Linked DNA regions of Nothobranchius furzeri. The protein of the gene in region 2 purifies or fractionates together with the protein of the main gene of each other region. This does not show direct contact. Links are inferred from orthologs where the notes say so. Each region holds a gene or a part of one and is shown on either strand. Other genes may lie near its edges.

Evidence for each region.
Region 1: the proteins of ATP-dependent RNA helicase DDX39A (region 2) and api5 fractionate together in Homo sapiens (co-fractionation; 3 studies listed by BioGRID, with this or other methods). This does not show direct contact. The link is inferred for Nothobranchius furzeri from reciprocal best matches to the Homo sapiens genes DDX39A and API5.
Region 3: the proteins of ATP-dependent RNA helicase DDX39A (region 2) and thoc1 purify together in Homo sapiens (affinity purification with mass spectrometry; 3 studies listed by BioGRID and IntAct, with this or other methods). This does not show direct contact. The link is inferred for Nothobranchius furzeri from reciprocal best matches to the Homo sapiens genes DDX39A and THOC1.

The regions. Positions count from the first base shown.
Region 1 is NC_091744.1:54,692,364-54,702,835, reverse strand, and holds part of api5 (apoptosis inhibitor 5), read right to left. Parts: intron 9,949-10,472; coding exon 9,787-9,948; intron 9,716-9,786; coding exon 9,622-9,715; intron 9,524-9,621; coding exon 9,458-9,523; intron 9,356-9,457; coding exon 9,204-9,355; intron 9,084-9,203; coding exon 8,877-9,083; intron 8,652-8,876; coding exon 8,547-8,651; intron 7,923-8,546; coding exon 7,833-7,922; intron 5,130-7,832; coding exon 4,948-5,129; intron 4,865-4,947; coding exon 4,771-4,864; intron 4,681-4,770; coding exon 4,624-4,680; intron 3,799-4,623; coding exon 3,719-3,798; intron 3,629-3,718; coding exon 3,486-3,628; intron 1-3,485. UniProt on the Homo sapiens protein: Antiapoptotic factor that may have a role in protein assembly. Negatively regulates ACIN1. By binding to ACIN1, it suppresses ACIN1 cleavage from CASP3 and ACIN1-mediated DNA fragmentation. Also known to efficiently suppress E2F1-induced apoptosis.
Region 2 is NC_091747.1:68,842,550-68,853,526, forward strand, and holds the start of ATP-dependent RNA helicase DDX39A, read left to right. Parts: upstream 1-5,137; 5' UTR 5,138-5,266; intron 5,267-6,119; coding exon 6,120-6,327; intron 6,328-6,565; coding exon 6,566-6,693; intron 6,694-8,655; coding exon 8,656-8,932; intron 8,933-9,193; coding exon 9,194-9,312; intron 9,313-10,977. UniProt on the Homo sapiens protein: Helicase that plays an essential role in mRNA export and is involved in multiple steps in RNA metabolism including alternative splicing. Regulates nuclear mRNA export to the cytoplasm through association with ECD.
Region 3 is NC_091751.1:49,146,945-49,157,937, reverse strand, and holds the start of thoc1 (THO complex subunit 1), read left to right. Parts: upstream 1-7,180; 5' UTR 7,181-7,229; coding exon 7,230-7,277; intron 7,278-7,930; coding exon 7,931-8,004; intron 8,005-8,083; coding exon 8,084-8,144; intron 8,145-8,214; coding exon 8,215-8,284; intron 8,285-8,439; coding exon 8,440-8,558; intron 8,559-8,658; coding exon 8,659-8,707; intron 8,708-8,796; coding exon 8,797-8,892; intron 8,893-9,001; coding exon 9,002-9,084; intron 9,085-9,170; coding exon 9,171-9,244; intron 9,245-9,318; coding exon 9,319-9,427; intron 9,428-9,536; coding exon 9,537-9,671; intron 9,672-9,812; coding exon 9,813-9,913; intron 9,914-9,995; coding exon 9,996-10,062; intron 10,063-10,255; coding exon 10,256-10,306; intron 10,307-10,404; coding exon 10,405-10,475; intron 10,476-10,605; coding exon 10,606-10,701; intron 10,702-10,849; coding exon 10,850-10,915; intron 10,916-10,993. UniProt on the Homo sapiens protein: Component of the THO subcomplex of the TREX complex which is thought to couple mRNA transcription, processing and nuclear export, and which specifically associates with spliced mRNA and not with unspliced pre-mRNA.

The DNA.
Region 1 (10,472 bases), on a different chromosome or scaffold from region 2:
TATAGGTTAGGCAGAACTGGTTTTCTTCACTTTTCTACAATGATTGGCTTAAACTTCTTCACCACACTGCTTAGTCGTGTTATCAGACACGAGTACCAGATGTGCACATTTGCTACAGAACTCCGTGTCGGCAGTTTTGGGGTGAGTCGTACTAGCGTAATTAAATTCCAAATTGCGTACTTGCTATGCAAAAAGCGTACAGATTGGAAGTTCTGTTATTTGATATGTGCCTATGGTTAAAATTTGATGTTAGCCCACATCTGGACAAGTGGGGGAGTAGAGGGAGTTTGAGTGTACAGTGGAGAATACAGTCGGTAAAGACGGCTCTCCCTTGCCCTGCCTCCATCTAAAAGGCTAGGTTATCCAGCATTATCTCTGTAGTTATGCTGCTATAGGCTTAGACTGCTGGAGGACACACTGACCACTTTTTTCTACCACTACTCTATGTGACGACCCTCGTCCCCTCGGTCCTCCCCATCATGTTTATCTGCGCCCTGCTGTCACCACTGCTGAGCTTTTCAGCATCTGGGACAGTTTCCGGAGCGACTCACTCTCCCTCAGTGGCAGTTCAGGACCTTGGAGAGAGGCACGCCAGAAACAGGAGCAGCCGATCCAAATCGGCCATCAAGCAGCCTGGAGGACTTCATAAAGGAGAGCACAGCAGTCATTCAAGGACATCCAGAGCTAGTCTGAGATCCTCCTGAGCTGGGTTACACTTTTTTCGCTAAGGTTAAACTGTGGCGTACGGTCGTCTGGGGTTTTTGGTAGAAAGTAGACTTTGCTCTTCTTCAGGCTTTTTGACAGAGTTACAGCTTTAATTTTGGTGTTTTTCCCCTTTGGACTTTTAGCCAGGGATTTTTTTCTGTTTAGGTGGTTTTTACCTATTTCGGCCAAATGCTGTTTTCGTAAGCTGTTACTCGCTTACTCCACCTCTATAGCACCGTTCCCTGTGGTAAGCCTGATTTTGCCTTTAGAAAAGGACACCCTTTGTTAATAAATCCTCGTTTTTTACTTCACCACCTCATTATTTATCCTCTCACACACACCTCCATGTGTTAGCCCCCTCATCCTCCTGGACGTTCAGAAGGGGACGCAACACTCTATAATTGCATTATTTCCTGCTATTTCAGCTGTTAATTGTATTTTCTCTCCAAGTGTTTTTCTCCTCAAAAGAAGCTACAACGGTGTTCTGCTGAGCTGTGGCGGCCTCGTGGAGGAGACCATCAGCTAGCACACTGCTGCTAACCACCTAAACATTCTCTCTTTCCTGTTAATATCATTTTCCTTTCTTTGACATGGAATGTGCTACTACTAGTATTTTATTTTACTGCATTCATTTTTATCTGTATGCCAATTTTAAATGTAAAGATTGTCTGCGTAAACCTGAACAGGTCCAACGGTGTACAGGTCACCAGCTTGTACGTAATCAAATGTCTCTATAGGCGCCTTCTGAGCTGAAGAGGAATTGAGATTCTGGAGTTTTCCTCAGACATGCTCATGGATGTGTCGCCACATTGGAGACAGGAACAAGCGCTATTCTGCCAAAGTTTCATAATCAGGGAACATTTTCTAAATGACAAGTCTCTGAAGAGACAGGGTTTGGAAAACATAGTGAGAGGAATCTTCCTGCATGTGCTCTGATACTGCGACACGCTCCAAGCCCCCAATCAACATATCGGCTGAATAAATCTTCAGCTTCCGGTCCACCTTACGTGCACGCTGACAGCGAGCTGCGCTGAGCAGTGTCCAGCTCAGATGTTCTGATGGGAATCTTTTCTTGATTGATGTAGCTACCTCCGCGATGAGCGTAACGATAAAAATGTCAGCCATCTGCAGGCTTGAGGTTTCTCCGTCAAAATAAACGATCAAATACGGAAAATATGCGGTCAATGCAAACCCCATCATGTAACTGTTTTGCCTTCTTGTGAAGGAACATTAAGCTCCTAGGACCCTGTGTCCGGGTCCTTGCTCTTTAAAATTTTATTCTCTTCTACTTGGACCTTTTCATTATTATTTATAGACACTATAACTTTAATTTAAAAAAATTTTTTTAGTTGTCTTTTTTTAGGATATTTGACAATTTTTTTAATTAATTTTTATCGAATTAAAATTTGTTACTTTTCTGTTAATTACAGTCGACTAGTCTGTAATAGCTAGATGTTTTTTTCTTTTAAATCAAACCCAATACAAGTTTGGGTCCCAGGAGGTTTAACTTGAGTAACACCAGAGCCATGCGCACTGCGCCGGTATGTCCGCCACTGTAAATGAGGGAAAAAAAAAACGAATTGATCGGATTCTTTTCTTACCTTTAACATTGTTTAATGTAAAGCTTCGCTCTGTTTAATTAAAACAATCCAACGAGACTGAGCCTAGATTTGTATTCTGAACAGTTTAAACATGTTTTAAAAGGAGACGTGTGTGAAGCGTCAAAAAACGGCACTTGATCAATAAAACCACTAACAGGGTGATAAATATCAAAATACGGTAGGCACAGATGGGCTACAACTTCTGGATCATTTTATACAGATGGTTTTATTAATCATCTTCTGTTGAAAGATAACGTTGAGGTACAAGAGTGAATGGTATCGGTTGCTGTCACCTGTTGTGATCAGTTAAAGCAGCTCTCGGCTGACTTAGGGAGGGCCCAGGTGCAAGAGGGAACGCCCACCCACAACGCCGCGGCTGCTGCGGCTCCCAGTATACTTTTACTGTGGGAAACGGGTAATAATGGCTCTTTGATGGGAAAAGTGGCTGACCCCTGGTTTATCCTCTGGAGGTTTCTTCCTGTTAAAAGGGAATTTTCCTCTCCACTGTCGCTAAATGCTTGCTTAGTGTGAGGATTGCTGTAAAGACACTGATGCCCGTCAGTGACTCGATACATTTTATAGGTGGTTAACTCATACTGATTGGCAGCCATGGAATGGTAAAGCCTATGGAAGTTTATCAGACAAATTCTTGACTGATTTGTGTACAAAAAAAAAAATTCACAATTATAGATCAGTATAACATTAGTGCTCCAATTCTTATGTCTGTTTTTGATGCATTGGTTCTAGTTCTATTATGTCAACAACTTGTTCTGACCAGTAATTACATTTTGTTGAACTTCAACAGCCCTTTTATATTCAAGCTAAATTTTATTTTTGATTTTTATTAGACAGAAGATCCTTGTGCTTCAATCAGATGAATCCTGAAGAGCAAACATGAATGTTTAAACTCATCTGTGAAAGAGTAGACAACTATAAGTTCTTCTGCTCGAGGCTGACACGGGTCTAGAATAAACACTGGGAGTGAATCCACTACAATCCCAGTGATAGACTCTGCCGTCTCACCAGTGAATCCACGAGTGCAGAGGATTTACATTCGATTAGATATGAAGATATTTAAAATTCCCTGATGTGCTTTTAGGGTTAAAAGGTGATAACTGTTCAGTGAAAACAGTGTCAGAAAACAAAGAAAAATAAAACGTGCCACAGAATCCTTCTCACCATAGGTAAAATTGCCAATTGAGGCACTGTACTTGCCGCTGGGGGGGTTATAAATTTGCCGTGCGTCCCGTCGAGGCAGAGAGACGACCGGCTTCTTGGTACTTCCCCCAGATCCTGTGTCCTCAGTTGATGGACGCTTGGTGCTAAAAGCAGCAAACAAAAAAGTCCAATGAAGCTGAAAAGAACCGCAAGGCCATCAGACAGCCGACGAAGGCCTGATGTTTCCAACTTACGCTACTCCCTCGGGCTTCTGGACCGGTTTCCAGGACAGGGTAACGGTGCTCTTGTACGATGGAGGGTTATGGAAAAGATCCTGAAACAAAAATAAAGATTTTAAAAAATCTTGCAATTTAAGAATGTTGTAAAGAAAAAATAAATGGTATGAACATTATAGCACCTTTAAGGATTGTTTTTTAGGCTTTTCTAGAACTTCACTGTTGAAGTGCTAAATATTTGAATGATGCCCTTTATTCCAGCTCATTTACTTCAGGGTTGTGTTTTTTTTTGACTACATGAGTTTGGTTTGCTTGAGTAGATCCAGCAGATATAACTAGAGGGTGATGTGCAACAAGAGAAAAGTCTTAAGATTAAATGCCTATAGTAGTCATACACACTTGTGTGGTGAAAACTGTCCTTCGTACTTGACCCAATGCCAGGGGGGGTCACAGTGAGCGGCAGACACAACCGCGCTCATTTGGTGATTTTAAATTAGGTGACTTTCCCATTCCTTGTTTTTGATCTGAGACTAAAACTGAAAAACAACTTTTATTTTGAATTCAATTAAAAAAACAAATGACAAAAAAACAAAATCTGCCTTTAGCCGATCAGTCCTATCACACATAAACTCCATTTTACCAAACAGATGTTATTCAGGAATCATCTACAAAAAGTCAACGAGTAACTTTGTCTTTACAACTCTTACACAGACACGAGAAATGGTTTAAAAAAAAAAAAAAAACCTTTTCCCCACAGGTTCACTAATGTAAACATCGACCACAGCAAACAAACCCCGACTACAGTTCCAGTCAGGCTCAGGCGTGGCGCTGTCCCACGCCAAACATACACATTTCTATAACAGGTAGCGTTTATACTGAAAACACAGCCGTACATGTTTTAACAGCTGATTTGTAGAAATTACCTTGATGAGAACATTGATGTTGTTTGTGATCTTCAGAGCCACCACTTTGATTTTGTTCTGATTAAATACAAAAATAAAAGAAGTTTAACATTGATCCTGGGATCTGTTAGAGTACTATAGTAATTTTCAGCAGCCCACGGTCCTTACTTCTTCTGTTTTCAGAGCATCTCCGGTCTTTCCTTGCAGTGCTACTCGTAGCTGTCTGATGTAAACCTGCAGGCCTCGGGCAAAATACTGTAATCTGTTTAAAACGAGAAGCAAAAGCAGCACTAGGTGAGTGGCAACAGACTAAATCACCAGGAGTCTAACATGTCACCCCAATACCTTATCTTGAAGTCTTTGAGGCGCTCAGCATCCACTTTGTCAACAAGAAAGTCGGGGAGCTTCTTGCCCAACTGGTGGAAGCTGAAAATCAAACACTCCACGTAGCTGAACTGAAGTTTGGGCTCTTCATTTGCCGAGGTTTCTCCATTCTCCGCCTCTTCTGGAGGCAAGGGCATGAACTCCTACAACAGATACATAATATTAATAATATAGTTTATACTCCTCCTCCTCTGTTGTCCTGCTGGGGAACTGCTTTGCAACACCCGAAGGCAAAAGGCAAAAGAGAATCCGAAGAAGAAAAAAGTCTCCATCTACACGTGCAGCCCTGCAGACACAGAAGTATACACCTGACAGATTTTTAAATATTAGATACCTAAAAGAAAACATACAAGGTTCTACAATTCCATAAGAGTGGTGAGGTAAAAAACACCTACTTTTTTTCATGTTCCTGTTTTTCTCGATCTGGGACAACTTTAACAGTTTAAGTCTTGTTTATAGGGCTGCACAACACATTGCAAATGTATCACTGCAATACAGCATGCAGTACATGGTCAGCTCAAATGTTTGCTACGCATAATGCATTTAGTCAAACTGAAGCATGAAGATTTTGACAAATCAAATAGAGCCCTTTGGCCAATCGGGTGGCTTCTTTTGGTTTGATTCCATTTCCCCTAGGCGGACAGCACTTAAAGGAATACTTAACATATTCGTATTTTAAATCATTTTCTTGAGCCAGCATGTGCTAAAATGACCCTTTACAGTATTTTTCAAGTTTTCAAGTGGTCTTAAAGTTTTGATAAAGGATGCATCGTGACTTTGAGTATTCTGATATTAACAATACATCTTATGACATAAGCATAAACATTGTTTTATTAATTTATACTTTGTCATAAATACTTGGGCCCTATGAAACCCGTTTCATTTTTTCCCAAAATAAGGAGGTAAAGCAAGAGTTAAAAGTATGTACAATGTAAACACGAGTCATAGAAACATTTCTTGAAAGACATGAGAATGATGACACCTCCACTGTTGCTGTTATAGAGGAGGAAGTTTCTGGACTTGGCTCTGATTTTTTTATAGCACCTAGAAGGAGCCAGTCAAGTCAACTGTTATCTAGATTCCCAAGTCACTGGGTGTTGTTCCTCCCAAAATCTTCCACTCAGCTTTTCAGTTTTTACGTTGGTGGTTCAGCAACCATTTGTGCACTGGCTGATGATTTATTTTTTCTTTGTGTGAAGAGAACCAACCCACCCCATAACCAGGTAACTTATTTTTGCTGTGGCTAAAACACCTCAGAAACTTTTTCTTGTGTTGTGATGTAGGGCTGCACAATATATCAAAAAATTACCGTCATCGGGATAACAGGACGTGCGATAGGCCCATCGCAACGCACATCAAAAACGGCGATAAATGTTTGATTCAACAGTTCCATTTCCATCCGTGTCATACATCAACTTTTTGTAAACCAGCTCTGTTTTTTACACGGAAGTATTATATGACCAATCAAATGTAGCCCTTCTGATATGCGGCCAATCAGATGGGTCCGTTCACGTAATACGCCCGCCTCCTATGTACACCCTTAGGATGGAAAGCAACACCCGAACTGAGTTAGCGGTGCCGTTCCCTTGTTCGTCATGCTGGCTCAGATTAACGAACGCACTTTGTGCTGAGGTTTCTGGAATCAGCGCTGCTTTCAAACGTGAACGCGAGTCCGCTCGGTGTCGTTAATCATTTTTAGCGGGCTGACTCCGACACGTGCCGGTGAACCAACCCACCTTCATGTCGCTAGTGTTCCACCGGGTGGTGATGTTAGCCCCAGACTCCGGTTAGCTTCCAGCTAAAAGGCTACAGCACTCTCCTCCCAGTCCCACCCTGCTAAAGAGGGCCTGGAAAAGTTCCCCCACACATCAAAGTGATTTTTCATTTATGAGCTTTTATAACCTTGTTAATCAGGATAGTTGATTTGCTGCAGCACATAAACTGTCATTCAGAAGCTCTGCTAGCCGGTTATGACGGTTGAACCGTCATTGTTTGCTCTCTAGCCGGTTGAACTAGCTCCTCCTAGAGGAGCTAGTTCAATTTGTTAGCTTGTTATCAGAATCATAGTTGCAGTTTCATCATCTGAGCTGCTTTTTAAGATCTAGGTAAACTTGTTCAATTTGGGGTTAAAAACAAACGTTTTCACATATTTTCCATGTAGTTTTTTTGCCAGTTCCTCTTCTGAAAGGTAGACAATTGTTTTTCTCTTTCCCTCAGAAAATCTTAATGTTCTCCTAGTTTGGCCCAGCACAGTTCACTTCCCAATTACAGCAACAGCCTTATATCATAACCACATAAGTGGAGAAAATGCTCAGTAGCAATGAGAGAATTTGCTGTTGCATTTAAGTGATGTTAACTATTATTTAACATTTAAACTTATTTTCTGATTTTTTTTATTTATTCTAAAAACCCTGGTAAGGGATGTTTTTCTGTATTTGGAGCATCAGGAAAAGTTTTATGGTGGAGGTGATGTTTAAAAGTCACTGAGAAACTGCATGCATGCAGTTTGTTGTTTTGCTGCTAATACAGTAGCAGGTGCAGCTGCATATTTTTGCAATAAAAATGTTATGTTGTAATGGAATTCATGCATTAGTTTTTGTTTGCTTTGAACTCAGAGCAGACGTCACACGCCAGACGACATCAACACTGCATACTTTAGTATTTGTTCATTTATCGTGAGTAATATCGATATCGCAATATTAAGCACTGTTATCGAATATCGCAGGTTTTCCTAATATCGTGCAGCCCTATTGTGATATATACTTTTCCCTGGCAAGAAGTGATGACTGGTATTATCATGACTGATTTTGTATGGCCCACCCCATGACAGGATAACGTGATCTTACCATGAGCTTGGTAAACATCATGCTGAGGTTGGCCTCAAGCTTCTCCATATCACCACAGAACGGGCTCATCTCAGCCAGCAGCTTTAGGACCTACCAACACAAACGCACATTAGAATGTTACTACTGGAAGGAATACCAACATGACTAATGGGGGACAAAGCTCTGTGGGGCGGACTACTGACCCCACTAACAGGTAGCAGTCACTCTGACTCCGTTTATACAATCAGCACTAACCAAACATCAAGACTTTGAGTTCTCGCCTTCACACCACCGGTCATTTTTAACCAGAACTTTAAAGGAGTCCAAAGCAGGAAAAGGATTTTGGTGCTGCTAAACACTATGAGATTTTTAGTCTTTGCGGTCCAATGGGCTGACAGGTCAATTTTAATATATACTTGAAAATTTTCTCTGATGGGACAAATGTACATAGATCGTGAACCTAATCTTGCCCGAGCGCCTGAGTTTGACACCTGTGAACTAGATCACCTAAGTACACAAACATTAGAAAACCCTTTAGACGAGCGATCGGAGTACACCGAGTAACCCCAACTGTATATAAGAAGCTTTGGCAGATCATGGACTCTAAAATCAATACTGTACTAAACAGTAAACAGAACTGGGTCCTGCTAATAATGACATCACAGCAATGATTTTGATGAGATTTCCCCCATAATGAACTCTATCATCTCAGTAGAAAATAAAAATTAAACTCACTTCCAGTTGAATGTCCAGCTCTGCCACAGGACTCGTCAGTGTGCTGAGATTAGGCAGGACGTGTTCACAGAAGTAGGTTACAAACCGAGTGGAATGAACATTTTTCTACAAAAACAAACAACTTCAATTTAATTGCATCGTAAAATTAATTCAGAGCATATTTCAATGTTTGATTTAAAGTTTTTATTTGGTACCAGACTGGTGAACTTGAAAGACATTAATGGTAACAGTTAATTTCTTGTTATTTTTCTGACCTGCTACATAGAGATAATTTGTTTAACTAAAGTATTTATCGTATCGCGCATCAGCTGAGAATGTACATGTACTCACAGAGAACAGCGGGAGGGCTTGGCGTGTGCACTGCAGGAGGCGGTCTACAGCATCTGGTTCTGACGGGTTAAGGGCCTGTTCCAGGTCAGCCTGCTCCACTACCAGCTCCACAAGCTGCTGCCGCCCATTTACTGTCTGCAGCACATGCAGACCAGACACCACACGCATCAGGAGCACAAACTCCTCACCCGTCACATCCTCCAGCACCTGAGGAAGCAGTAGGGAAGATCAATTCAACCAGAACTCTTTTATAGGACTGCACACTAATAATTAGTTAATGTATGTTTCAATAAGGATTGCAAAAACCAATTTACACCATTTCCTCACCTTCTTTGTCTCGGCAAAGACATAATCTTCAACCTCCTTTGACATGACATCTTCTGGGAGGGTCTTCAATTTGGTAGACAGGAACTTGATGGCTCTTTCTCTGACAATGTCCTCCCCATGCAGGATCTGAGAGAAGAGACCTCCAAGAGTACCTGGATGGCAGGTACATGTAAGGGGGACGGTTGTAATGTATCAATTAAATAAACTGTTTCTAGATCAGTTGTTATGAATAGCATTAAGAAAACAAAACTCACCCTTAGCATCCATTTTGAATATTGAAATCAGAGCTGCAGTCACCTGGTTGAACTCTGCAGTGTCATCTAAAAGCACAACCATACACACAGATTACTACTACATTACCACACAGCAGTTAGAAGTGACCCAGTGAAGGATGTGTGTGGCTTATAATAGTCCACACCTGTCTGAAGGAGCTGGGTGAGAATATCTGCAACCCTTAAGATGTTATCGCCAGTGGCAAACCGGGGTAACTCCTTAATGGCTTGTCGTCGAATCTATAAAAAAACACATCATCAGAAATCCCACATAGTTCAACTAATACAAACACGTTTTGTCTAGAACTTACAGACACATCTTCATCCTCACAGAGATCAAGCTGGGCATTGATGGCAGCATCAGCCAACTCTGGAAAGCTGCTGAAGAATTTAGGAATAAACTGTGCTGCCAGTCGTTTCTCCTTGGCACCACCCTTCACACCATTGAGGATTACTTGATAGGCATCTTTATGCTGAAGAGAAAAGAAACATACAACCACAGATGTGACTTGGGATTACTGAACCCCACACTGTTAAACAGACGAGACAGATATTTACATATACAGGAGTTCCCAGTTCATCGGGTAATACAGAAAATCACTCCCCAGGACTAATCAGTGATAACCAATACCAGTCATTTGTATTTTTCAAGTCACTGATGTCACATCAAGTTCTGCAAGAAACTTTATTAAGGCTGGAAGTTTCAACTAGAGGACAAATTCTGACATCCGAGAACTGACAGCTGGATAAAGCTTGCTTCAAACAGTCAACACAGAATGTTTGGGCCTTACTGTTAAAGCCCAGGTGCGCTTAATATTCAATTCAATAATTTTATTTAACTCAAAATTTAAATATACAAACTTCAAAACAGAATACAATTGCCAACCAGAATATAAGCATTCAAGTGAAATGAAACGAATAACGACGTTTTATTAATACGCCAAAGAATAAAGATGGTGACTGATGCTCACTGTAAACATCAACAAATCAATCTGTT
Region 2 (10,977 bases):
TGAACTCTGAAAGGTTTCAAGTATTAATAGTATCCAAATATTTAATACTGTTAAATCCATGTTTTCAACAACATTATGACTGTCGAGCAAGTGTTCTTGTTCCAGTTTAGTCCCAAACTCTCTTCATTGTGACGCAGTTTCTTAGCAGTTCATTTATTTATGTTATTAACGGTAAAGTCGTCTTACATTTCTGACACTTTCAGCCTCGAGGAAGCCAAACTTAGACAGGTTCCAGATGAGATCAAGATTCCCACAACAACTAATTAATTTAAGAGAATGTTTGTTTTGTGAAAATCTTCAAAGTTCGTGTTACACGACAAGGCCAAACTCAAGCAACGAAACTCAGAAAATGTTCTATCAGACCAAAATTTAACATCCATAAATCAGACGTGATGTTTTTGTGCCTGAAGCTGACTGTGTATTAAATGGCTGTGCTGTCTCTGTGCATCAGGAGAAAAGCCTCATGTGTGTCAGATTTGTGGCAAGGCTTTCAGCCAGAGCTCCAACCTCATCACCCACAGCCGTAAGCACCAGGACGACCGGCCCTACCGCTGCCCTCTCTGTCACTACAGCTTCCAGCACAAACTGGACCTCCGGCAGCACCAGGAGCATCACTGCAGCTTCCGCTGATGCCCAAGCAACAAACTCAGGCCTCCTGGTCTTTTTTCATGGTTCACTTTGTGCAGAGACTGCCTCTCTGTTTGCTCTTTCTTAAGCAGCTCAAACCTATTAGGCTTAAGCAACATTCTTATTCATTTTAGCAGCTGACAAATCCACCATGACCCAAAAAACTGCTTTGTTTACTATTCAGTTATCCAGCAAAATACACCTTTCGGGTGCTGCTTTCCCACATATCTTTCTATGAAGTCCTTTTTGTCTGTATATTCTGACAGAGATGCTAGTCCCTGTTTACATGACCTTCCAGAGGGACCACATTTGTTTGAGTTTGCATCAACCCACATGTTTGCAGCCGAGTATAAGGAAGTCCAGTAGTTATGTTTGCATGTCCAGATGGGACCTGGATATTTTAAAGCTTTGTGCTTTGGGAATTATTTGTGATTTTATTATTTTTTAACCAAAAGGTGAAACAAAAATAAATGATTTCTACAAATAAATATTTAATCTCCAATATTGTCCATGTATTTCTGACCCTGTTCCTACCCTCACCACTGAAAGAAATGACTCATAAGAGTTACTTAAAAAATACATTGTAAGTATTTGCAAGCAAAGTATTTAAGTACATTTAAATGCTGCAATTTGAAGTAATACTTACTTGCCAGTATCAAGTAAAATTGACTTTACATGAAACATAACAGTTATGAAGATTTTAAGTAACATTTACTTAATTAAATCCAAACTTTAGTTACATTTATTTAAACAAATTAAGTAAAGTCTACTTGTTTTTCATAGGCAAGAAAAAATTTTACTCAAAATTTTAAGTTCATGTTATGTCCCTGTAGTATTTGCAATGATTAAATAGATATTAATTATTTTCTTATAAATTTGGATGAATGTTACTAAATAAATGTAACCAATACTCAATGCATTTAATACGTATAAAACCGCTCATTTTTAATTTTAAACAGTTTAACAAACATTTAAATCCATAATAATTGTGTATTAAATTGGCCAATCTTTTATGGGGCAGCCATAAAAGACATGCATAATCTTTACACCACTTTTCAAAGTTGAAGTCGCTTTTTATATTTATATTGGGAAAAAAAAGCATGCGCAAGTACAGCATTTATGGTCACGAGCTTTGGGTAGTGGCCAAAAGAATGAGATTGCGAATACAAGCAGCCAAAATGAGTTTTCTCTGCAGGGCAGCTGGGCTCTCCCTTAGAGATAGGGTGAGAAGCTCGGTCATCCGGGAGGGGCTCGGAGTAGACCTGCTGTCCTCTGTTGTTTGTCCACCACAACAATGTCTGGTTGGTTCGCCATCACCATTTTATCAGTCTGGATCTGGAAGTCCCACAGGTTCTATGGTGCGGTATGGGGGCCAAAATTAAGACTACTGCCCAGCAGCAGGAGGCTATATAAATTCTGAAGCAAACTACCAACCTAATTAATGACAAGCTGGCGCCAGTAACTGAGAGGCTGGCGCTGCTTACTGAGGAATAGCACCTTTACCGGCGTTATTACTAGATACGCTAGGGACTAGCAGCCCTCGGCTGGTGATTGACTGGTTCAAACACTCCCTCTGCTGTCTATTAGCATGGATAGGCTAGCGTTAGCCTGGACGGGCTGGTGTTAGCATTGGAGAGGCTAGACATTAGCGTGCCTAGGTATGCCACTAGCTGGATTTCCTACCCCCTTGACAGACCATTAGCATGGATAGGCTGGCATTAGCATCAGAGAGGCTAGCCATTAGCATGACTCGGAGAGTCATTAGTCAGCTAGTGGCCAGCCTAGGCACACTAATGGCTAGCCTATCCATGCTAATAGACAGCAGAGGGAGTGTGTGAACCAGTCAATGACCAACCGAGGGCTGCTAGTCCCTAGCGTATCTAGTAGTAACGCCGGTAAAGGTGCTATTCCTCAGTAAGCAGCGCCAGCCTCTCAGTTACCGACGCCAGCTTATCATTAATCAGATCAGTAGTTTGCTTCGGAATTGATATAGCCTCCTGCTGCTGGGCAGAAGTCTTAATTTTGGCCCCCATACCGTGCCATAAGGATCTTCGTTCACTCGTTCTCTACCAACTTATGGGGTGATACCCACATTGGGTCTTCCAGTCCATACTATGCACAGATGTTTCTGTACACGATGTCAGCCACTTGGTTGTGGCGTTCCAGGTATGCTTTCCCTGCTAGCATCTTACACCCTGCATCACACCAGTGAAGTGTGTCGTTGGTTCATTTGGAGAGAATGTGTCCTCTTACGCTTAATGTAAAACACTGTGACCTCTTTTCTCCATTCATCATGACTTATTGTAAGCCTTTTTGTGTTCAGTGTTACACCTACTGTACTACAGATAGCACATAGGCCTAAATAAGTCCATTGTACGTTAAGGCTTCAGAACATTTGGATACAAACCCCACAAATATATGTTACCAAATTAATTTTACTGTGTTTTCACACATAAACAGCAAACACAGTGTTCCTCCAAACCAACACAAAGTTGCATATGCAACGGTCTACATATGCAACAGAAGAATGCACTGAATACAGTTTAGTCAAAACAAACAAACAAACAAATAAACAACCATGCTACATCCTCTCTTCCGTTTCTATCTGGCCACAGAGCCCCATCTACATCACAAGCAATGTGCTCCCTGGCCAAGCAGAATAGTAAACTTTATTTGTTTGACACCAAAACGGTTGCAGAAATTCATCTTTGAACAGGGCTCTACATCATCATTCACACTCACGTCAAACAGTTAAAGCCCATAAGACCGTACATATGATCTTCCTTTATCCTTATGTAGCGTTGACAGTCTGGACACCTTTAAAAAACAGTTAAGACCCTTTTATTTAAAGCTGCTTTTACCTAAATCCTTAATTTTCTAATTTTAACTCAAATGTTTTATCTTTCATCTGTTTATGAAATGTTATGATTTTATGACTTAATTTTTTCTGATGTTAATCCATTTCTGTTTTGAGATCGTTATGATTTAATGACTTTGTTTTATTTTGTTTTTAACTATGTGAAGAACTTTGTGATTCTATGTCTGTGATAAGTGCCATATAAATAAAATTTACTTACTTACTGCATCTACACACAGTAAAAACACACTAATTGATGCATACATATACTCAATAAATACAATGCGTGGGTTTTAGAAGTTCCTGTACTTTTAAGGGCTGTGATTGCAACAGGGGAAACATTGCTTAACATGGCCATTCCAGCCGGCCTTCTTCCATATGTGTGTGGATTTCAGTCATACACTTACACAGTCATACTCCATCTGCACACAGAAAAAAAATCCTCATTAGGATTGAGGAATGGATAACACGAAGGAAGATAAACACCTAAAAATCGTGGGTGGTATGTATGTCGATGGGGTGGGCAGCGAACCACCAGTCACGAACCAGAGCAGCCCTGTAGAAAATGACCTGATCTGGTGGTGGAGGAGTGCGTTGGGTAAGATGTCCAGGAATGTGATCAGATGGACAGTGTTGTAGGGGTCAAGGGTAGAAGTGATGGATGACACAATTGTTGGAAATAGCTGCTCTAATGTCTTAAATTAGATTATGTGCGACAGGTGTTTTTCCTTTCGATTACATTGTATACTTTACAGTGTACACTTTACAGTGTACACAGAGGATCTTACGTGGTCAGTGCACACGAACAATACAGTGAAGAAGGCACAGCAGCGCCTCTTCTTTCTCAGAAGACTGAAAAGATTTGGCATGAGCCACCGCATCCTCAGGACCTTCTACCGCTGTGCCATTGAGAGCATCCTCACTGGATGCATCTCCGCCTGGTTTGGCAACAGCACCGCTTACAACCGCAAAGCTCTCCAGAGAGTAGTGCGGTGTGCAGAAAGGATTATTGGAGGTGAGCTTCCCTCCCTCCAGGACATCTATAAGAAGCGGTGCCTGAGGAAAGCGGGGAGGATCATCAAGGACTCAAGTCACCCCAGCCAAAAACTGTTGAGACTACTTCCATCAGGAAGGAGGTTCTGCAGCATCCGGTCCAGAACCAGCAGACTGAGAGACAGCTTTTTCCATCAGGCCATCAGACTGCTGAACACGGCGCAGACACCTCACCCTCACTACTGAAACTCCAACATTACACGCTCCGTACTGTACATTAATGCCACTGTTTTGCACATACCAACCTCTGTACATTTTATATCTCTTATCTTACTGTTTACTTTATTCATTTGTATACTTAGATTAGCCATTTTTATATCTTACATGTTTTTACATTACTGTATTTTTGCACAACTCTGTTGCTGTGAAGCCCACACACAAGAATTTCACTCGCATGTACTGTACCAGTGTACCTGCACATGTGACGTGACAATAAAAGTGATTTTTTGATTTTACAGTTTTGAATGACAGTGGGCTTGTAGTGAGAACAAGACTTCCTTTATGACAACTGTGCCAAATGCAAAGAACTGGGTGTAATGCAATGTAGTGTAAAGCAGACAGCGTGCTTGAGTGACTTCTGGCAGCTGCCACGAGCGGTGTCGGTGTACACCGGAAGTGAAGCCTCTGCACTTCCTGCCTTCGGTCCTGGCGCACTCTCCTGTGAACAGCTAGCTACACGCTAACTCGACAGTCCTGCGCTCATTGAGAATAGCGAACCATAACCGTAAGGTAATGTTAAAACCTATTTATACTTCTCCAAACACTCTTTCGTGTATGCAGACATGGGCAATGTTTAAGGAGTCGAGTCGTTTTTTTTAAATGTTCGATTTTGGTTTGATTTTACAACTGATGCTATGCTAGCTGGCATGCTTGATGCACTAATAAAAATATATTAGACAAGTCTAGTCATTTAGCTAAACTTTGCTTCGGTTTCGGTGAGTCTGGCAGTTAAAAGTTAACTCCAAACAGAACATACACCGTGGTGTATTTTGGAGTTTCAACATTGAGGTGAAGTGTTCACCCTTGTTAGCCCGCTAACCTCGCTTTGGATGAAGGAGAACGACTCCATTGTTTATGTGGGTGACCACCAGCTCACGCAACGGGTCTCACTCGGTTTGAGTCAAATACATAAAGTTCTGTAAAGTGTCGTCTTTATTAAGTTGTAGGGGAAATAATCAACTTAATACACACGTTTGTTTTTTATCTCATTTTTCAATCCTTATTCTTGCTTTTTTTGTTGTCCGCGGCCTGCTAATGTTAGCCATGCTAACTTGCTGCTAGCCGTAATCAAACAGCCCCACGATGTTTTCAGCCGCTGTTAACGCTATATGAGTATAGCGGCTGATGTGTAATACGATTGCTAACTACTTAATTTTAAACCACTGGCAATCACAGCCAAGTAATGATCCCAAACTTTCTGTATATTAACAAAATGAAAAATCCAGTTCTTGCCAGATCTCAAAACTTGCAAAAGCAATCCCTCAGGTAAACAGGATAACACAGTACATTGTTTATTAAAAATGCAGGATTGTGTGTGAAAACTTAGTCAATTTACATTTCTCCAACACAACATCCCCTTCAGATGGCAGAGAACGACGTTGACAATGAACTTTTGGACTACGAAGAGGATGAGGAGCCCCAGGGACTTCCTGAGAGTGGGACACCAGCAGGCAAGAAGGAGGTTAAGGGGTCCTATGTCTCCATCCACAGTTCGGGCTTCAGAGACTTTCTCCTGAAACCAGAGCTGCTCCGGGCCATCGTTGACTGTGGTTTTGAGCATCCTTCAGAAGGTAATGGTTATAAAACAATTTAGGGAAAAACAAAAGTCTGTGTCAGTTAATTGGAACGTATATTACAAGAAAGAATGCATCAGTTAAGGTTTGTGCAGTTATTAGTGGAAAAAGGTAGCAGAATCCGATCAAAATTTAGATTTTCTAGAAAAATAACAGGTAGGCTCATCCTGAAAAGAACTTATATTAAGCAACAGTTTTTGATCTTTGTACTTTTTGTCATTTGCTTTTATTTTAGTTCAGCATGAGTGCATTCCTCAGGCTATCCTCGGCATGGATATCCTGTGTCAGGCCAAGTCTGGTATGGGGAAGACAGCTGTATTTGTTCTTGCAACGCTGCAGCAGATCGAACCTGTGGATGGCCAGGTAAGATGATCATATGTATGGACAACAAATGAAAATCTTATTCTTTACATTTTTCCTAGAATTTAAAGTAGTGATGCACCGATATGAACATTTTTGACCGATACTGATATCCGATATTAAGATCACTGTTATGACCGATAGCTGATATTTGCCGATACCGATATGCTGACATGAATGCTTCTAAAATCTGCAGATTTTGTATAAAATAAAAATGATTAAAGCTGAATTTATGTTATTATGTACACACACAACTGCGGTTCTGAGATGATTACAATCACTGTCACATGACTGAACAAATATACATCACCCCCTCACCCTCTGAAACAGGCAAACAAATGGTGACAAGATGGGAAAAAATATCTCTCAATAATATTGGCCTGTTTTTTTTTTTTATCGGACTGATATTGATATGTTAAAAAACGGCTAACATGGCCGATACTGACACTGATGCCGATATATTGTCCATCCCTAATTTAAAGTGCAGAACTAGTCATGGTTGTTGAGGTTTCTAGAAACGGCAAACTTACGAATATTGCAGATGTGTTTCTGAATAAGGCAGTGAAATACATCATCATTACAGCAGGGCTGAAACGATTCTTCAAATGATTTGATTCATTACTGAATAGAAGCGTCATTAAATACGCGAACCGCAGTCTGAACACATTCTTTTCGCACACAGTGTAGTATTCTAGGAGCTGTGTAGGAAAAGAAATAAACCAGCAGACACAAACCACTGTGAAAGGCAAAAACGGTCCAAAGTTTGGGAGTGAGGTGAAACTATGAGCAGATAGCCAGTGCTAAGCTAGCGCGTAGCATCCTGACGATCAAGTGAGGTTAAGAAAAAATGCGACGGTTGTGAATGACTAAACTCTACAAGCAGAAGAAACATCTCCATCTTCCTGTTTATTTGTGGATGTCTGCAGCAGTGTGGGGCAGAGATGCTGCAGCTACCTGGAGTCTGGGTTGTTGCTACTGGGGTGCACCGATCTATCTGCCCCAGTCTTGTTTTTTTATTGATTTTTTTTATTTTTAAGAACGGCGATCAGCCAAAAACTGCAATCGGTGCACCCCTAGTTAATGTTAAAACAGATCATTGCTGTGTTTTAAAACGGGCACAGAAGTTTTGTTTTCGAAATTAAGAGCAATGCAAAATATGTTAATTTATACTTGGGAAAAAAAGACCTCATGTCCAGTTGAGACTGGTATTGTTTCATGAGTTTTCATATTGGTTTTCTCAATAAAAGGAAATTGAAACGTTGACGTAATCTGATTTTAGTTGAGACAAAATCGGTATCGGCAAGTCAGGTTTTTTCAAGGTCAGTGATCAGCCAATAACTGCCATCGTTGCACCCCTATAGTTTCTACGAGTCTGCTCTACACAACGCATCAGGGATACGGCAAGCTGTTGTAGCATGTATTTCACAAACGCTTCTATATTTGAAAACATTTGAGACAATATTATGTTACCAACCCATACAAATACCATACATATGCCACCATTACATTGTTACAGCAGAAATTCAATATTAGCGTTTCCAGTAGCTTACTAATGAACATGTTAATGAAATCATTACACGCTATTGATCATATGCGGATATATTTAGATTATTTTGAATAAGATGAGTGATATTAACACAAACTAAAATGTTATTGAAATATAAGTTTTATTTTGTTCCATAAAATATTTAAAAACTGTAAAAATCTGATGGGAGAGAGCGAACCAGACAACAGCAGTTAAATATATGTCACAGAGCATTTTATAATTTAGTTTTTGCATATTTAGCAGCAGGCTAATTTCACGTAAAACGTCGTAAAATAGAGTATCGGTGGAGGATTCGATAGAATATTTGAATACTAAAATATTCTATAGCTGCAGCCCTAAAATACAGATTTTAGGAACCGTGAGCACTGAAATACTATGTGATTGATATTCTGACAACTCCTTATTTATTATTTTTCCAGGTGTCTGTCCTTGTGATGTGTCACACAAGAGAGTTGGCCTTCCAGATCAGCAAAGAGTACGAGCGCTTCTCCAAGTACATGCCGACCGTCAAGGTGTCCGTGTTCTTTGGAGGCCTGGCCATCAAGAACGACGAGGAAGTCCTGAAGAAGAACTGCCCTCACATCGTCGTAGGAACTCCAGGACGAACCCTGGCCCTCATTCGTAACAAGACGCTCAGCGTGAAGAACATCAAACACTTTGTGCTCGACGAGTGTGATAAGATGCTGGAGCAACTGGGTGAGTAGGAGGACAGCTAGTAGTTTGATCTGATGTTAGGATTGGTCATCTTTATGCCTTTCATGTCCCTCAGCACTGCGTTATTAATTATCATTATTTAAACTTTCTCAATATTTTCATTTTCAGTCACTTATTTGTTTTTTTAAAGCTGTGCATCACCAACTTCCTTCCTGATCTGACACACGGGGAAGATTGCTCCGTTTTAGTACAAATGAGGTAAAAATGAGAAACACATGGAACATAATCTGTTTTTCCCCTCAGACATGAGACGGGATGTTCAGGAAATCTTCAGACTGACGCCACACGAGAAGCAAGTAATGATGTTCAGTGCGACTTTAAGCAAAGAGATTCGCCCCGTCTGCCGCAAGTTCATGCAAGATGTAAGTTATTGTCTGGGAAACAGACAAGCGGTCGTTCACATGAGTCGCATGTCCACAGAGACCCTCCCCCAAACGTCTGAACCATCCCTTTAGTGTGTCTAACGGGGGTTATGTTTATAAAAAGGAGGGATGCACCGATCAGGTTTTTTGCTGCCGATCACCGATACCGATCACGTGGATTGGCCAGAAATTTTCTACAACATTATAATGAGTGCTACAAACTACATAATCTGGGAATAAAGGAAATGTAACCTAATCTAAAATGGTCTGTATTAGGGTTGTCACGGTGTGAAAATTTAACCTCACGGTTATTGTGACCAAAATCACCACGGTTTTCGGTATTATCGCGGTTTTTTTTTTAAACGTGCTACATTTTCACACAATTAAATAAACCCTGTATGTCAGGAAATATTGTCCTCAGTTTGTGTCTAAATTTTGCCTAAAATGTGTTATTTAGTAATTATGTTGTTTATTTGTTTACATTTTCCCCCTTTAGTCTTTAAAATACCAATATTTGCCCATAACGTCTTATTTTATGTCTGTTTGATGTCATCATTTAAAAATATTAGACCAGATGATACTCAGTACTCAAGTAGCCTTCTAATCAGATACTTTTTTACCCTTACTTGAGTAATAAACCCTATATCAGGAAAATATTGTCCTCGGTTTGTGTCCTTCCAGTGAGCTTTGCAGATGTGGGAAAATGTCATCAGGCAGTAATCGTTGTTAAATTCATAATTATTCTCGGAGAGAGACCAACTCTTATCTGCCCCTGGGAGCCCCGTAATGCATAGCGTCATTTCAACATGGCGGTGTCCGCGACACGGTTTATATGCAGGTAGCGGCGCTGCGGCTGCTTTATATAGCAACTCGTTGCATTCTCCCTCAACCCAAATCCTCGGATCACGCACTTTAGCTAAAACGCTAACGTTAGCTTGCCTTGCGTTGACTGTAGAGTTGTGGGTGATGGTCACGCAGATGTGTCATGAGATTTGAAGCGTTGCTGCCTTTCACAGACACTTTTTCTGCACGTGCTGCAAACAGGATAGCCGTCTTCTATCAGCTGTCCCTCGGCATTCTTCACATATCCAAAAGATGCCGTACTTCCCACTTTGTCTTTGAGGGATAATAAATGTCCTCCTGAGCGCTGCCGTCTCCTCCTTTGGCCATTATTTCAGCTTTAGCTTAAAGAAAGTTTTGGTTGTAAACAACAAAGTGCGCATGTGCCGCCGACAACTTCAGCAGATGATACGGTGGCTGGTAAGGGTCACCGCACCTACGGTAATCCACCGAGATAATATAGTTTTTTTTTTTTAAAACAAGACGGTTATTATTATTGTCAACTGTTTTACCGGGGTTTACCGCTACACCGGTTACCGTGACAACCCTACCTGATCGGTCTGCTTTGATCTATTTTGAAAACTCCGATCAAAACCGATTGGGGCGCTATCGGCAGACTGGGATCAAACGCCGATCCATCGGTGCATCCCTAATAAAAAGCCTAGTTCAGCTGTCTGCCATAAAGCCCGTGTTCTAACAGTAGATCAGTGTTAAAAATCTACTGATGAATCAGCCTTTCCCGTGTTTTGGTTAGAAGTTACCTGAAGTCAAACCCCTCCAGCTTTGCCCACTCGCGGCTGACCGTGTCACGAGTGTCCATTTCAG
Region 3 (10,993 bases), on a different chromosome or scaffold from region 2:
TTCCTTATACAGGAAACATTATTTCTGATTGGCTTAATGAACTGACCTGAATTGGAATTTTTATTATGTGAAGTGCCTTGAGACGACTCTTGTCGTGATTTGGCGCTATATAAATAAACTTGAATTGAATTGAATCAATGAATCCGGTAGTTCACGGACAGGCTGTCGGAGTGTGGAGATGACCAGAGAGTGGAGCCTGATGTAAAGATGGGTATTTTTCTCAGAAAATCTTATTATTTGACAGTCACCAATAATATAACAAGGATAGACAATATAATATAATAATAATAATATAACAAGGATCTTTTTTGCTAGGCTAGCTATGATATGGATGTAATGATTCAATTACCAACTGATGAATACTTAAATATGCTAGCCTATTTAATTGTTGTCCCTAGCAATTTTTAAACCCCACTCAAGTGTATGGTTATTGTCCCCAGCAATTCTAAAAACAAACTGACGCCCTTGGTTTTCTCACAAGTCAAGAGGCCTAACTCTAGTATAGTTGGAGTTTTTCATATATTCAAGTCTACGGGGTTGTTTGTGTCTGAAACTTCTCTCATTTTTATTTTCAAGCAAGCAAAAAATAAAATAGAAATGTGGCAAGACAACTTGGAAATCTTGGACAATGATCAAGAAGCTTTCCTGCAAAAATGTGACAAAAAATTTGGCACAATATGTTTGAAAATACTCCTCTTGTCCCAAGTGACTCGACCATTTGTTTAAAAGCTTCTTGCAATTTTATTTCACACACTGATTGAGCGTGATTGTCACAAAAATATTGCACATTTGTTGCTGCTAGCTAACAATCTCAGCCTAATGAAACAAGGGCTGATGAGACAAAAATAAATAAGAAATTCAGAGTCAGACACAAGTGCAAATACAATTAGGATCAAATGCAAACAAATATGATGCTTTGTGACTGAATTGCACAAGAACATTAGCAAAATTCACAAATGTAATAGTGGACAAATTCAATGCCATTATAGCTGAAAATTTGCTTTTTGTTGCCTCCAAGTCACCATTTAGTGTCAGGTTTGTCCTGAAAACTTAAACAAGTCTGTCATTAGCCTGATGATGTGTCTAAAACTGATTTTATTCCTAATCATGTCTGATGAACATGATGCAGGGGGTCTGTGCTTTTAATTTAAGGTTTATACTTAGCGTCATTGTTCGTTAGTGGGGCAGGGTGTTTAGCTGTTGAATATCAGATCATCTTAAGCTGTCTTAAAGGCCTCTGAGAAAAACAAGGCAAATGAAATCAGTGAAGATGACAGCAGCTCATTAACAACCCTTTTTGTTTGCTAGTGTGTGGTGCACAGCATCCTTGTAGAGTTCTATACCGCTGTCATTCAAAGTATACTCACCTCATCCATAATAGTCTTGTATGATGATTTGGACTCCTACTCACATAAAAAACGCATAACTGACAAATCGTCTAAAATTATAAGTCATATCCTTGCAGTAAGTATACAAAAGAGATTCCCAGGGAAACCGCCCCTAAATCGGTTCTACGCACGTGGCTAGCCTGAAACCCAGCCTATTCACCCAGTGGCGGTTCTACATCGAATTACTCCCCGGGCGAGGCCCCCTTTGAGCGCCCCCCCCCCCAACCCCCCCCCCCCCCCCCACCACCACCACCACCACCACACCACCCCACCTGCATGAACACACGCATGTTTTCTACAAACAGGCATGTTTTATTAGAACGACTATTGAACATTCATTTTTCTAAGTTGCACATATTTACATTAATTACTATGAAGTTGTCAGAATGTAAAGCACTATACATTATATACTGTATCAAAATATATAGAATCAAATATACAAAAACAAACAATAACTAAATATTAAGAATATATGAACATAATAGATAATAAATATTCTAAATAGCAAAAATATTTCACACGTAACAAACTAAAGGTAATCACTACAGCATTGCACTTAGAATAGAAAACACAAACTAAAATTAAAACCTAACCTTGATGCAAAGTCATCAATAATGTCATCACATGAAATCTGCTCCCCTACTGAGTGATTGATACTAATCAGAGCCAGGTTAGTGAGCCGCCCCTGAAACATAGGTGACCTCAGGTATGACTTGATCAAGTTTTGAAAAGCTCCTCTCAGCTGGAGCCACAGTGACTGGCAGAGCAGTCCAAAAGTTGGGGTAGATCTCCAATAGATCTTTATCATGATCCATAATATTTTAGAATTGCCTCTGAAATTGTAATTTAAACTGACATAAAAAACTGTAGACTACCAAAAATGCCAACTTTTACAGAACAAATCATGTAAAAAATAATCAGTGCAGCCATCTGCAATAAATAAACAGGATAGTTAGTGGTGACTGGGGAGTTTTCTTCTGCTTGAAGAGTTGTTTTATTTATTATTATGTGAACATGATCAACATGTGTTTGTTGTTGTTCAGGCAGGCCACAAGCTGCAGTGAGCATTTAACAAATCCTAGTTTGAATCAGTAAAAAACGATTCAAGGACTTTTTTCAAACCATTTGAATATTCGTTTAAATATTTCAGCCCTATTAGCTCTGTTAGCAATTAGTTGACCGCATTTAACCGTTAAAATCCCAGTTAACTGGTTCAAAAAATTGAAAACATGCATCATGAGAGCTACATACCTTTATCTTTCTGCTCTTTTTTCTTTTTTTCCCCTGAATGGGGCACCTGGTGGTTTTAGCCTTTTTATGTTCATCTCTTCTGTTTGTCTCCTGACTCAGTAAGTTTCCTTTAGTCAGGACTAATCAATTTGACCTTGATGGGGGGTGACCACAAAATCGTTTTGTTTTTCCTTTTTTTATTCGGCCATTTCACACAATTCAGAGAAACCTGAAAGAATTATAGGCCTGTGTTTATGATATTATGAATGAAATATGGAAGAACGTTAAGATGTGATTGACTTTAGCAATGCTAATACAGTTGATTCAGCCCCTGCACGCTCATTCATTTGGGAAAGACGCAGAGGTGAATTCCCCCGCCGCACCCCTCCCCTTCCTGTTCTTCATAGACACACGGTGCACGTGAACGTTCTCAGTCAGCAGGAGCGCCTGCAACTGCAGGGGGCGCCAACTTGCTGTTTCCAATCCAGACACTGTCATATGACAGATAATAGAAAACCTCGCTGCGGCGCAGATTTCCTTTTTTTTTTTTTACTCCGCGCTTGTGCGCCCCTTTTGTGTCATGAAAAAATGCCGCCCCGGGCAACTGCCCTGTCTGCCCGTGCCTAAAACCGCTACTGTATTCACCATAGTAACACATGCTGGAGAACAGACCTGCTACGTGGCAGGCTAGCAGCTAGGCTTACCGATGCTTTGTGAGTATGACTGGACAAGGCAAATGACGTCACCTTTTTCTTGTTGGTGGCTGGCAGTTACAAGATGGTGAAATAGCGCCACTGCTGGCCCACAGCGGAATCAGCAGCTGCTGTACCGTAGACACATCATACAACAGGTCACCTTGGACCCCTCTCACCCTGCACGTCATCTGTCCAGACTATTGCCTTCTGGAAGACACTACAGGTCCTTACAAACAAAATCAACTAGATTCAAAAACAGATTTTTCCCAACAGCTATACTGACACTAAATCAATTAACTGCCTAATGTTTCTGTCTGTTTATTTTTTGTTACATCATGTGTAAACAGAGTTGTGAGCATGTCATGCTGCACCGGAAACAAATTCCACCAACTTTTTGTGTGGTCATTAATAAATTAATCTGAATGAATCAGAATCATTTTTTATAGTTTTGCATGAATTTTGTGATTCAATTCATTTTTTATTTTTACATGACATGCTATAAATGATTAGTTTAATTTAAAAAGAATGTTTTTCTTTTCTGTTTTGTTTTAAAACAGCAGGATGTAAATCGGGTAATTGCACACAAACAATCTCCAATAAAAGATCGTGATGATTAGACAAGATGGTCATGATGGAGATTTCCTTTTTGGCTCCGTCACAAGAATGCTGCTTCTCCATCTGCACACGTGGCCTGGCTGTTTCACGTCCAGTTTTATGGCTCGTGGGTATTTGATGGCCTCCACACCCTTAGCTAATCATTGCATATCTGTCAAATGACTTTAAACTGCATAATCGAGCATTTATCACCAAAGAAATGCAACCAAGGCTGTTTGAATACACAGAAGTCCCAGCTGTCTTCAAGACAAGTCAGGATAATCACTGCATCCCCAATGTGTTGTCCTCTGAAAAAAATCGTCAGCAAAATGTCCCAAATAATTTTTATGATGACCTGTGACACAACTGAGATTTGCATTTTGTCACCTGACATAGATGAATAAATTAACTAACTTTAATACAGTATTAGGAATGTAATCCATGTGGGGACATTTTTATTTGAAGCAAAAAATTGAAAAAGCATTGAAGGGATGAAAAAAGGTCTAATTTAAATGTGACGTGTGGCTGAATTTAGTAATAACCTTAATCAGAATGTTCACTCATTCATATGTGTTTACTTTCATCTTCCTAACAATAAAATAAGTCTTCGTTATATGTTTTATAAAGTGGAGTCTCAGAGGAAACCACGTGACAGCAGGCAGTCCAAAAACTCCTTCCTTTGTGTGTTTGACCTCAGGGGTCAGGGCATTGTGTTTTGCCTCTTGTTTACAAGTTTGTCTCTACAGACAATGCTCTCTTTGTTGCCCCTCGGTCATTTTGTCTGAGTGTTCATCAAATTATTTGGCTCTCATCCTGACTGATTGGTCTGTAACTCGGCAGAAAAGAGCTGTCGGTGGACCTCTCATTATCTTCATCTGGGAAAAGTAAACACGTGAGGAACTTGAACTAGTTTAAATTCATTTTGTGGCGCAAACTAGTCATTTTATCAAAAAGTGTCAAAGTTTTGCAAACATTTTTCTTTATCTCAGATAATCTATTTAAAGAGCCAGTTCACTGATAAACCGTTTACTTGTTGTTTTTAAAATATGTACGGCTACAAGGAGTTTCACGCCAACGTGTAAATAGTTCTTTAATTTTATTTCATGCATTAGCCGTCGATAGAAAATGAATGAGGAAAGCCTCGGATTAGAAAAGCCAGTCAGATCTATGTTGTCAGGTAGCATTCATTCACTCACTCATCTCGGCTCAGAAAGGGGAAGGCTGTTGTTGAGGAGAGAGTAGAGAACGCCTCAGCTAGCAGAAGCTAACCATTAGCATTAGCAACTCTACAACACAGCAGAACTCCTACAGGATTGTGGAGATGAAACAATCAATGTTGCAGAGCAGAGTCAGTGGTAAGGTCATGTTGCTGTTAGCCAATCAGAGGAGAGATGTCCCAATATCAGGAAATAAGACTCACATTCCTGTCGTCTGAACCTACTTTCTCCTCTGGCTGAATTCTCTGAGCTGAAACAGGTGCACCGGAGCTTTTTTCCCCCAGAGTACAACTTACAAGGCATTTGTTCCTACAATAGACCACTGCAAATGTATTACAAACATGGGCGAAGGACCTCTTCAATCTTTGCTCCATGGCAGCTCAATCAAATATTTTTCCCTATTTCATTCCTTTTCTAGTCTGACCGTCTTATCTTTTCCACAAAGTTAGACTATATGGACCAGTGTCTTATCAAAACTATGTCAAAGGTTGTAGAAGTTACAGGCACGGACAGCGGGATGAGCGTGCCTCGCAAACATGGAACTAAGCCTCAGCATGCAACCTAAATATATTTGTTCATTTTACTTTTTGGTGCAATTGGAGGTATATTTTTGAAAACTCGTTGCATAAAAGCTGAACAAATTATCTAGGGAAGTTTAATTGAACAAAATAAATAAATTATTTAATTAATTAATTAAATCACCCATTTTAGGTAGAATGTAGAAGATTTCTCAATCTTCTTGCCCTAATCACAACCTCAAACCACGCACAAATCACTTTTAAGAGTGCCTCCCAGCACAATCTCCAAGTTTCTCATCGTGCTTACTCCCTTTCTGCTCTTCATCAGTTTTTGGCAACAATCTGATGAACTCTGAGTAAGATAAGGGATGGGAGAAAATAGGTATTAGTAAATCACTCCTCACTTCCCTTTTTCATGAACACTACAACCACACACGTGAAGGAAATAGAGCCTCTCCTGCTTCCATGTGACACTAAACGCCTCCACTTCACAAAGTCATTGTTCTTCTCTTAACATCAGCACAGCCACCAAAACACTGTCACAAAAAGGTTACAAACACCCATCAAAAGGAGCTGAAAAGGATCATCCTTGTATGTAAATCCTAGAGGTCTTGACCTGGATCAAAACAAGCTTCAGTGTTCTCACATGGGTTGAGTAAATCTTTAGTTTAATGATTGTTGTCTCAGGGTAATGGAGCGGTTATTCTAATGTCAAATCGGACATTGTTAGACAAGCAGATGGTATCAAAGGATTCAAGGCCTGCAGCACATAGCTGAATGTTCATTTGCATGATTAGAACATGTGGAAGTGCACACCAAGACAGGCACACATGCAAAACAAACACATTACAACTGCTGTGCATTGTGACCTGTCAAAGTCAAATATTTATTAACAAGAAAGGACAAAAATTATTTCGCTCTTTCCGTTAAAATAAATATAACTTTGAAATGCATACAATATAAACAGAGTGACGTTATTTTACAAGTATTCAATGGCTGACACAACTTATTATTATTATTATTATTATTGTTGTTGTTGTTGTTGTTGTAATTATTATTATAAAGAAAGTTTGGAACATGACTCTTTAAAATAAAAATCAAGTGTAAGATTTTTTTAAGTGAGTCCTGGCCAAAAGGCAAACTAAACCATACAGTGGGGAAATTAGGATTAAAATAAATATTAATACTGTTATTTTCAGGAAGTAGAAATACTAATTTTAACTCACCATTTGAAGAAGGTTTCCATGCATCCATCACTTACAGCCACTCAGAGTTTGATGAATGTAAGCAAATTAAAAAATAATGAAAAACTTTAACAGCAACAATGGTGTACAACACTGCCATCGTGTGGTCAAGATTGCTATGCTACGGTTTATTTCCATTTTTCATCCAAAATGGAAATAAAAATGTGACTGACTGAACTATTTGAAACTAAATTAAAAAATACAAAGTTAGTTTTATCCTAACTCCGTTTATAGATAATATGTATTAATGTATAATTTTGTCAGATAATTCCCTTTACGTACAAAAACGCCACTTCATAACCGGAAGTGATTCGTTGGCGGTTCCGGTTTCAGAAGCGTAAAGATGTCTCTGTCCTCATTTAATTTTGTCGACGCTAAAGAGAAATTTTCGGTGAGAAGTGGCTTCTTTCTGTCATTTCCATCCATAATATATTTGTATGTAAGACAACTTGTTGATAAAACCGTAAAAAATCTTAACTTCACTACTTTATGGTTGTGCTTGTTGTACTAGTGTAGTAGTTAGCCAAAGAAGCTAAGCTAAAGTAAACGCTTCTGAACGGTCCTGTTGTTTACGAGGTTGAAGTTAGCTTCCGATTTGGAAATTGGCTAAAGAGCATTTGCACTCAATTTTATTTACTATGACCATCTTTAATCTGCTCTATTTAAAAAAACTACAATGCCTAGACAGTTCAAACCGGGACTGGAATATTCTAGACTAATAGCAGATTCCATAAAGCATAGTTTGTGATTTGTGAAACCTTTTTCAGATTTGTGAAACTTAAAATAGGCAGATTTTGAAGTTTCACAAATCACAAACTGTTTTATGGAATTTGCTATTAGTCTAGAATAATCCCGTCCAGGTTTGAACTGTCTAGGTATTGTAGTTTTTAAGATGAAGCAGATTAAAGATGGTCACCGTATATAAAAATTGAGAGTGGCCTTGGCCTTAGCCATTTCCCGAATCGGAAGCTTGAAAACGGAAGCAAACTTCTGCATCGTCTTTTGTTTCTCATTATGTCCTTTCCCATGCTCACCCAACCGTAGGCTGCAAGCACACAAGCACTAGCTGGTAAAACCTGCAAACCCCTAATCGCCGTGTTTAACCAACTCCCCGGCAAGTAAGTTGTGCTCCTGGGTCGAGGTTCCAGATCAAAATAATCCAGAAATACAAATTTACTACTTGTGTGTTTTTGTCAGTGAGACGGAAAAGAAGACCACACTGGATCAGGCTTTGAGGAGTGTTCTTGGTGACCAGATTGTAAGTTTAATAAGTTAGTTAATTTAAATTTGAAAATATGTGAGAATCGCTAATGATTGTTTCTCTCTAGCTTGAGCAGAAATCATGCTGTGATGACTATCTGTCTCTAATCTACCAGAGCATCAATGCTGTTACTGAGGGTATGTTATCACTACTGCTGAGGTGGATATTTATTTTAGATTAGATGATTTTGGATTTTAAACATACATGTTGAAAGGATCGCTTTGATATAAGTTTTGGTAAAACGTCTCTTAAAACAAATGACAGTGTAACATTTATTCTGTTTTTAATGCAGGTATCTGTTCTGCTACGACTCCTTTTGTCCTGCTGGGAGACGTTCTGGATTGCCTTCCCCTTGACTTGTGTGACAAAATATTCTCTTTTGTTGAAGAAAATGTCTCTACCTGGAAATCGGTATAATTACAGGCATTTTTTTTTGTAAAGGCAACAAAAATATTTCTCTGTTTTTGTTAGAAGGTTTCATTATTGTACCTGTGTTGTTTCTTTCTTCCAGAGCTCTTTTTACACAGCAGGAAAGAACTATTTGTTGAGAATGTGTAACGGTAAAAATCTTGTCTTTTTCTCTGTCATCCAAAAGACTTTCTATTCTCAGAAAGTTCAGGTGCAAGTGACTTTTGTTTCATCTGTACAGATCTTTTAAGGAGGCTGTCGAAATCCCAGAATACAGTATTCTGTGGGAGAATCCAGCTTTTCCTGGCACGTCTCTTTCCTCTGTCTGAAAAATCCGGTAAGAAAGTCAGTTATTTTTCTAACTTGAAGGGGAAAAAAATCAAAGCACTTTACAATCATATTGTAAACCTCTCAATTAAATAGATTTTGTGTGTGTTTTAATCCAGGTCTCAATCTACAAAGCCAGTTTAATCTGGACAACATAACCGTGTTCAATAAAAATGAACAAGAAAGCACTCTTGGTCAGAAGGTGAAGTATTGTTAGGTTAATTATTAGGTTAATGAGCTCATCCTTTCCATCCTGTTTCATCTGTTTTTTTGCTACTATGTTGACAGCACGCTGATGAAAAGGAAGACGGCATGGAAGTGGAGGAAGGAGAAATGGGGGAGGATGACGCCCCGGCACCGTGGTGAATGAAAACCATTTGCTGTATTTGCTCACATTTTCACCTTCATGAAATAATAGTACCCTTTTGTTCCTTAGTTCTATTCCGATTGACTACAACCTGTACAGAAAGTTCTGGACATTGCAGGACTACTTTAGAAATCCGTTGCAGTGCTATGAAAAAATCTCATGGATTACTTTTGTTAAGGTAATCCACCTCGGTGCAGCAACTCTGACCAATTTGACGGATCACTGTCAATATCCAAGATGAGGATAAAAAAATAAATAAACTTGTGTGTTGCTTTTGCTTTGCTCAGTACTCCGATGAGACTCTTGCTGTGTTCAAAAGCTACAAACTGGATGACATGCAGGCGTCAAAGAGGAAGTTGGAGGAGCTGCGAGCGTCTGATGGTGAACAGGTTTACTTTGCCAAGTTTCTCACGAGCGAAAAGGTGCAGAAAAATCATTAAAAATCTTTTAATCATGTATAAATAAGCAGTTTTTAACTGACTATGGCTGTAAGTCATATGTTTTTCTGTCTTAAAAGTTAAACTTCATTGTTTTGGGATTTTTTTTTTTTTTGTAATCTGCAGCTGATGGACTTGCAGCTCAGCGACAGCAACTTCCGGAGACACATACTGGTGCAGTACCTGATCCTGTTCCAGTACTTGAAGGGTCAGGTCAAATTCAAAAGGTGAACATTTGTGCAACTAAACAAATATCACTTGTTGGGATGGAATTAGTTCATGTTTATGCTTTTTGATTTCTTGACACAGCTCAAGCTGTGCTCTGAATGATGACCAGACTACATGGATTGAGGAGACGACTAAGCTGGTGTTTCAGGTCAGTTCAGACACGTAGGACCAGAAATCAGGAGAAAACGTGTCTGTTGCGAAAAAAATCTGTCCGTTCTTCTTCTGAGGTTTTGTGACAATTTCCATTTACATCACAGTTTTTTTATACCTCATAAAACTATTATTCTTATTAACACTGTGAACCACTGAGAGAACAACTTGTAACTTATCTGTTCTTGCAGCTCCTCAGAGAAACTCCCCCTGATGGAGATAAGTTTGCCACCATGGTTGAGGTAAGCAGTTCTACAGAAATACTGATGTATTTTTTATTTTTTATTTTTTTTCACATTTAGCTTCTGTTTTGTTTACATTTAAGTCTCATTTGTCGTAGCACATGCTCAGCACGGAGGAAAACTGGAATGCCTGGAAAAATGAGGGATGTCCGAGCTTTGTGAAAGAAAGGTAATGACTGAAAATTGACTTTTCCTTTATTTTTCACGCAGTCACCGGTCAGTTTTAACAGTTGTGAGTGTGTGAACTCACAGTAGCGTGTCAGAATGACAAGTAGTTCTTTTGTTTTCCTCTGAAACAGAACGGTAGACGAAAAACCTAAAAGGCCCACCAGGAAGAGACAAGCTCCAGAGGACTTCCTTGGAAAAGGGCCGGACCGAAAGATTTTCATGGGAAAGTAAGTTTTCAAATAGCAATGGGATGTATTAGTGAAAAGTCTAATCCGATTTATTTATTCAGAACACCAGATGTAATTAAATTAAGTTAGTGTTTTTGATAATCCAGAGTTGGGTTTCCACTTGGATGAAAAATTGTTTTGTTTTTAGTGACGAGCTAACCCGATTGTGGAACCTGAACCATGACAACATGGAGGCGTGCAAGTCAGACAGCAGGTCAGTCGATTATGGAAAATAACTACAAGAACACAGTCATATAAATACATTTACAAATGACATCTGAGTTTGTTTGGT